Drosophila melanogaster: one gene and its partner. The protein of the gene in region 1 interacts with the protein of each later gene in a pairwise test. Each region holds a gene or a part of one and is shown on either strand. Other genes may lie near its edges.

Region 1 (3,771 bases):
GTTGAGTGACAACTGGCAGTCGAGCGGGAACTTATACGGCCAACCGAATATTATCTTTGGGCTAGCGTTGCGGTGTCTGGTCTATTTGTTCAATATGCTCTATAAATATGATTGTCAATTGAGCGCCAAGCAAATGCATTTTCCCATTTTCCTCGCATTTTCCCCGCATTTTCCGCTCTCTCTCTCTCGCACTTAGAGCACAAAATGGGGCGTTTTATGTAAGTCTATAAATTAAAACATGAAACGCTTATAAATCCATATGACTGCTGGTTGTGGCAGCAATGCACTTTCTTTTTTGATTTGATAAAATTTTCAAAAGCATTATTAACTTTGCATTTATATTATATTTTTAAATATTCAATAATTAAAATTAATTGTGAGCAAATAGTATGTGAGTGAATGCACAATTATCTTAACCACACAAAATGGCTTAAAATAAACACGAAACTATGAAGAATTTTACATTTATTATATTATTATATATATTAAAAATTTAGTAATTATTTTTTTTTATGTATGTAATTAAGCAGTGTTCTTAAGTACAAAGGTCCTTCTGCAGACTGATTTAGCCGTCAGTAAGACAATCACTGGGTTATTAATCCCATACCCTTTTGTGTCAAGATTTTCAGCGATTCCTTGGGGCATCCATCACTTGCCTCAAGTGCAGCATATGCATTCCGGGGGTTTGGTTGCATATCTGAAGTGCTTACAACAAAATACACTTATCAGCAATGAGTGTGTCAATTACATGCCGCCACACCCTCACCCTTTCTCAACATAGGAAAGCAGTGGCAACATTGGGCAATGTGTTGAGTGCGATGATGCAGTGCAGCGAGCTGTTAATGAGGCTCATTATTAATATGGCAACGATATGTTTGCGTCATGAGCAATGAGCTGGCTGCAAAGGGAATTTACACGCGCTGCCCTGTCAGCAGCAAGATCAAAGCACAGCCTCCACTGGATGTACTCACTCCAAATCCTCCCTAGTCCCAGTCCCATGGCCATAATGTGTTATGAGTTATTGACGGAGTGGGTAGATGATCCGCTTCCTGGGAGCCCAGATCGCCAATTCCACAGTTGTACAGATCTCCAGCTCTCCGGCTTGTCAGCAGCTGACAGCGCCATGTCATAGCAATTTGCCCGGCTGTAGGTGTTCCATGTCAACTCCAACGGCACATCGCCACCTACCCGGGATGTCGGTGTGTAATGCCCTCTGACAGGCAGGCACTCAAATTGAATACTCAATGCTCACAGCACGGACGACCGACGAACTGGATACCATTTAGCGTTAGATTTATTTCGGGCATTAAACGCAGATCGCATTTCAAAAGACGGTACTCTGGTACACTAACAAAAATGGGGACAAATTGAAGGCTGAAGTGAAAATATTGATGCCACAATAGATGGCACGCACATTTGTAAAATAAAATATGTATTTGAATGTAAGTATATAAGTTCATACTCATTTCTTCTGGATAACATTCCACACTAATTTATTCTCAGTGCATCTGCAACCATTTCCCAAATGCACACGAGATGGGCACTTAAGAGATCTCCAGGCGCCGGATGTGCGCTATTTTTCCCATATATAGTACATGTCACTCTCTCCCAAACATACTTACATATCCGAATCCCATTTTCCGAGCTGGAAAAAAGTGCAAGTTACAAATGCGTATAGATAAGCATAGACCATCATGCAGCGGTCGTATTTTCCCAATCCGATTCGCCTCGGCGATAAGATTAGATTAGGGGGCCACCCACCACCAGATGGGGGAGCACGGATAGGCAAATTAGATGGCCCAAATGCCATCAAACACCGCATAGCCGTTACCAAAATGCGACGTCCGCTCTCGCCGACATTGGCCAAGTTGGCCGAGCAGGAGGTGAACGAGACGCCCGACAGGATTCAGCAGGATATTATCATCCTGCGCGTGTGGATTCGCCAGCAGCCGCATCTGCGCGCCCGCACAGATGTGGACTTCCTGATCGCCTTCCTCAGACGCTGCCGTTACAGCCTGGAGGAGACCAAGCGCCGGATCGATCGCTACTTCACCCACTACAATCTATTTCCGGAGATCATGAATAACCGCTGTGTGACTCAAAGACTTCTGGACATCAATCGGATGGGGTGAGCTAATGTTATTCCAACATTTGAAGTTAGTCATTTATCTTAAGACGCTGGTTTTGCTCTTAGAGTTTGTCTCTATCCGGATATGCCAAAGGGTGATAGCCGTAGTGCCATGTTTATAGCCCGTTTCGGTCATTTCGATCCCAATTTGTACATGCTGCGGGAGATCTATCATTTTTCGTCGATGGCCATGGAGGTGATTGCGCTGGAGAATGACTATGCCAGCTTGGCGGGAATCTGCGAAATAATTGACCTCGAGGGCGTCAACTCGGATAAGATGCGACGCTTTGATAGGGTTCTATTTCGCAAATGGTGGAACTGGCTCTACAATTGCAGCCCCCTTAAAGTGAAGGAGATGTATATCATAAATATGCCCAAGGATATTCAGGGTACCGTCATGTTTCTGTACAACGTGCTTAGCATGCAAGTCAACTATCCGGTGGGTATTGATAACTTAATCAGCAAGTTATCACCTTCGTGATAAAATTGTTTTTATAAAGTAACCATTAGAGATTCAGTACCAATTAAGGCTAGATATGTTTATCTTATTTCAGATACGCGTGCTGAAGAACAGCGAAGAGCTAATCGAGCACATTGGCAAGGAATCGCTGCCGGAGGAGTATGGCGGTACCAATGGACATTTGGGTGAATGTGTGGCCTACATGGAGGACCTGTTGAATAGCTATCGTGGTTATTTCGAGCAGGACTGCAACTACGGGACCATTGAGGAGCTGCGGCACGGCGAAATAGCCACATATGAGGCGGAATTTGGAGCCAATGGCTCCTTCCGTCGTCTCAATTGGGATTGATACCAGCACGGAAGCAGGAAACCTAGACCCTCCCTCCCACAATAGCGTTTATCCATATAAACATTCCAAACTCTGCTGTAGTCGATCAATTAAAGATAACACCCACTTATCAACTATCTATGCACTCGTGTATCTATATCTAACTGACTGCCGACGGGTTTCGGCTCGCCGTTCCAGCTAGTTTACAAGGTGTTGCCCCGATTAGATAAGCGATGCCGCCGCAAAAGCCAATACCATCACTACCACGGCGCTGCGTCAGTGGTTTTGGCATTCAGTTACTAATGAACCGAGCGCCGGAATGGCGAACACCCTGAGAACTCTCGACCCAAAGTTGGCGGCTCTGGCCAAAAGTGAGTGCAACGAGGAGCAGGCGCAGCGAGCGGAGATTATTGCCACCATTAAGACATGGATCACCAAGTCGCCGCACCTTAAGGCGCCCACGGATGAGCAGCTTATCCTGGCCTTTCTGCGGCGTTGCCGTTTCAGCCAGGAGGAGACCAAACGGCGATTCGACAACTACTACTCCCTGCGCAGCGTGTTCCCGGAGGTTCTGGGATCCCGACAGGTGGACGAGGCCCTGCTCACCCAGTTGCAACGCGGGTGGGTTGAATGTTCCATTTGCTATATACCCTTTTTGCCTTAGGCTGCTAAATATTTCACAAAACCATACAGAATACAGCTTTCTAATCAGTGGTGTTAAACGTAACAAACATTATCAATAATAATTTATTCACTATCTATGTGAATTTCTGACTGGAAATTAGTTGCGTGTTACGAAAGACCTATGTTAAGAAGGTAAAGATACTTTATTTAATTTCTATTTCGAATTAACAG
Region 2 (4,019 bases), on another chromosome or scaffold:
CATTCGATGCTGAATCCTTCGGCTTAAGCGCGTTCAGCTTGTTAAATGCGCTGCTGGCAAATTGCATTCCCCATTTCCCTGCCATTTTCCATTTCCCACCCACACTTTCCGCCCACTTCCCGACAGGACACAGATGCTGCCACGACCGTGCGACTGAGATGGATAGCTATACTCGCGTCGTAATTAACATTAATTTCGTATAAACTTTGGCACATTGCGTATACGCCATGTGTGCGAGTGTCACTCGCAGTAATATTATCATACAGCATACACTGAGCATTCAGCAAGCGAACAAAATTTCAGGCGATATTCGCAATTAAAATCATTAAATGCTTAATAAACTTTGGAGATAATGACAATATTAGCGCAGTTTACTTTGCTCAATATATGGTTCCTTGTCGATATTCCATCCTTTTCGATAAGAGAACCCATGTTCTGCGCGTTTTTTCTTCGAGTGCTGAGGTGATACTAGATTGTCGTACCACACAAATTAACTGCGAGCACAATTGTTTTACACATTGTTGTCTGGGTTGTTGTCAAGACAGCAGCAGGGAAATGGAAATCTTTATGTGTGGATATGTGCCTTATGAACCCTTCGCTTAACCCCACTGCATCCCGGGGGTCTGTGTGCGTGCAAATGTGCGAGCTCAAAGTTGAATTTTCTTCAATTGACCTTTTAAAATCCTTTCCTTGTTGGTTCTTAATACAAGCACTTCTTGAATGCTGATTCGCTGACAAAAATGTTTTCTTATTTGTTTCAGGTGAGGGTTGCTTATGATGAAGAAGGCTACTTTCCTTTTAGGTAGATATCAAATTGTAAAAACTCAATTAAAGCAAACGGTAAGCAATGAAAATCCGTCTTAAAGATATCATCGAATCTAGAGATACAGCGGCTTTGGCCTGTTTGCCATTTGCGGTTGGCTGCACTGTAAGCTGACAATTGCAGCTCAAAAGCTCGAAAAGGAAAAGCGATACCAAGTGGGAAGAGCGGAAAACCCAGGGAGCATGGCTAAGGAAAGAGAGGTGGAGTTTTCCCCTCGAAACTAATGAAGTAAAAGCGAAGTAAAAGGGAGAAAGCCATAAACAAACGGCGCGAGCACGTGACTCAGCTCGTTTTTATTATTGTTACCAAGTTGCGCGACATAAATGTATAAAAGGTCCCAAAAAATACTTATTAATTGAAATAACGTTCTTCATTTATGTTTTTATCTCTTCATGCATCTTGTCCTCATTAGCTTAAATAAATTACAATCGGAATCAATTTAAATATACACTTGCTATACAGAAGTTTTTAAATATCTAATACATATTACAGTGAATAAATTAACAAAAGCTATCCAAATAATCAGTGTTATTATGAAATTGGTTTATGAAATTGGTTTAAAATTTGTTTTGATTTAATCAGTCATAATCTTTTAAATTTATTGAAGGTCTTGACATATGTTGATTGAACTCCGATTTTACTGCAATAGACCGCACTTCCTCTGCGGCGGTTCATTCCATTGTCGATTTGAAACTAAAGGAGTTGCCAGTGGGAGGTGGACGAAAGTAGTGGCGTGGGAGGGGGGTGGCCACAGGGAGTTTGCAGTCCTAGTCCGACTGTTGCCCTCTCCCTTGGAAGCGATTCCCCCTCCCCCCTTTTTACCCCTAGTTGCATTTCGTTGTTCTACAGAGGCAACTTGAGTTTTGTTTGTGTTTTGCTTTGTCTTGTATGTTGACACATTTTTCTTTCGCATTTTCTTTTTCAACTATGTATGCATGTGTGTGCGAAACCGGAAATTACAAATGCAACAAAATGTTCTCCAGAGTTTTGATAGCATTGTCTCAGTTGCAGTCTAGGAATCTCTTCTAAAGACGATAATTCCACGCTCGTGACTCCGTCATGGAACTCATTAAAAGAATCACATAATATTAACTTGAAACCGTTAGAAAAAAAAAATAAACAAGTAGTTTGTGAAATAAGTAATCAAAAGTTGATTTCATTTGTTCTAACCTTCTGTCATCAGTATAATTTTACGTCGAGACGTCAACAGTTCGACTCACACAGAATTATAATCACAAAAAAAAAAAACCGACATTTTCTTAAAAATTCCTAAATGGAGAACAACAATTGCGAGGGCGAGCAACCATCGACATCCGGTGCATTCTGTAGGTGCTCCGAGTCTGGCATTGGTATATCTGCCGTCCTGGATCTCGCTCAGTCGGAGTACTCCCTGGACACCACGCCGGAAGCTGTGATGGCGAGTGCATGTCGTCTGGAGAACGAGAACGATGGTAATGATACCGATGAGGAGGTGGAGATCTGCTTCACCAGCTTGATGCCCGATCACCGTAGGCGCTTGTATATGGACTGCAAGCTGTCTCTTCCGGCGGGCGGAAGAGTGCCCATGCGCGGCGGCGCAGAAGCCATTTCCGCTTCCCCACATGGCAGAATCAGTTCTCCGGAAATTCGCTATGAGCGGCTGAGAAATACTGCAGTCGAGGTGCGCAAATACTGGAGATTGCAGAAGCTGGACATGGCTTGTCCGCTGAGCAATTGCGACTTGATGTTCAATCCTGAGCAGCTCCTAAGTCACTGCCTGATGCACCACGAGCACATTATTACAATGGAAATGAAGCCCAAGGAGCCAAAGGTTCTGAAGCTGTGTGGAAAATCCTTGCCCGAGGACAGGGGCAAAAGCAACTGTGTGGGTCTGATGATCTACGAGAGTGGCAACAACGCGACCAGGAACTTAAATCTACCCAATATCTACAAGGACTGGGAGTGCCAATTGCCCGTCCTGATAATGCTGTGGAAGACTTCCTGGGACTCGATGCCCGTCGGACCGCGAGTGACCCATATCTATATTCTGTGGCTGTGCTGTCCCCAGGCCCAGACGCCTTTGTTGGTATCCGTGAATATCGGAGAAAACACTCCGGGAGTGCCACGTCGGCAGATGATTCAGACCTGTCAAGGCTCGGAGACCCTGAAGAATTGCGATCTGCTTTCGGACAGTCCGCATTTTATGCGATTCACACATCGCGAAATGAAGGAGCACACTGAAGACTACACGCTGGACGTCGACCTACAGTTCACCATTCTAGAGGATGAGGGTAGAGTGGGGCCCATATCGCCTAATCCTAATGAGGGCACCTTTCGCGAAGACGACATCGAAATAGAACTTGCGGAAAAGGAGAATACCTCCAAGGAGGAGGTATTTATTGGGAACTCAGAAGGGCCTCAAGCGAACTAAACGCAGTCTATCACAATGATTTTTGGAATGATTTTTCAAAATTATTTGCATTACTTTGATACTGTACCTAAAAATTGTTTCAAGTTTTTTTAAATTATTTTGGATCACTTTGTACTTGGACGAAATACCATATCTCATAAGCAATTCAACATATGCAATCTTGTAAATTTTCATCAAAATTGTATCAGTAAAGATCAAATTCCTTATTAGAACTAAAATTAAATTGTTATTAATTAATGCGATGACAAATTAGTTTGAAAGTGCCATTTACATCGTTCAATAGGTTTAAATAATTAATTGTTTAGTCGATAATAAAATAAAATAAATAATAGTTTCGAACTGCCATTAAATCGGCCCTTTGAGTTCAAACTTGTATGTATGGTATGTGTACATTTGAAAGTGCATCATAATGTTGAGTGTATTTGCAATTTTCTCGGTCAGACTGACAGCTTAATTTAATTATTCTTGAACACAAATGTTGTGGCAAACTCGCCCACTTAACCCGCTGTGTGTTTGCTTGGCCAAAAAGCTGTTCGCTGGAAATTTTTCGCTTACGCCGCAGCGTATGCAACATGTTTGCCATGTGGGGCAGGGGCGTCGTAAAAGAGGGGGACAAGGGCTGTTCGGTTTTGCTGTCCAGGTCGTTGGCAGCCATTAGCACAAATGTCGTCGCAAAAGGGGGCGTGGCGGGCAGAAGGAGGAGTAACTGCATCAACAACTTTTTAACCAACTTGCCAGCCCAGACTAACAAGACCGCAGAAATTGTGAACAGGGGTGTTGTGGAGA

Evidence for each region.
Region 2: the proteins of CG10301 (region 1) and CG1314 interact in a two-hybrid assay, tested with the Drosophila melanogaster proteins (one large-scale study listed by BioGRID).

Annotation. Positions count from the first base shown.
Region 1 is NT_033777.3:23,708,323-23,712,093, forward strand, and holds CG10301 (uncharacterized protein), read left to right. Parts: upstream 1-1,835; coding exon 1,836-2,128; intron 2,129-2,194; coding exon 2,195-2,567; intron 2,568-2,682; coding exon 2,683-2,937; 3' UTR 2,938-3,016; downstream 3,017-3,771. Other genes in the region: CG10300 (uncharacterized protein), read left to right, coding at 3,236-3,537.
Region 2 is NC_004354.4:20,867,417-20,871,435, reverse strand, and holds CG1314 (uncharacterized protein), read left to right. Parts: upstream 1-2,038; 5' UTR 2,039-2,096; coding exon 2,097-3,233; 3' UTR 3,234-3,447; downstream 3,448-4,019.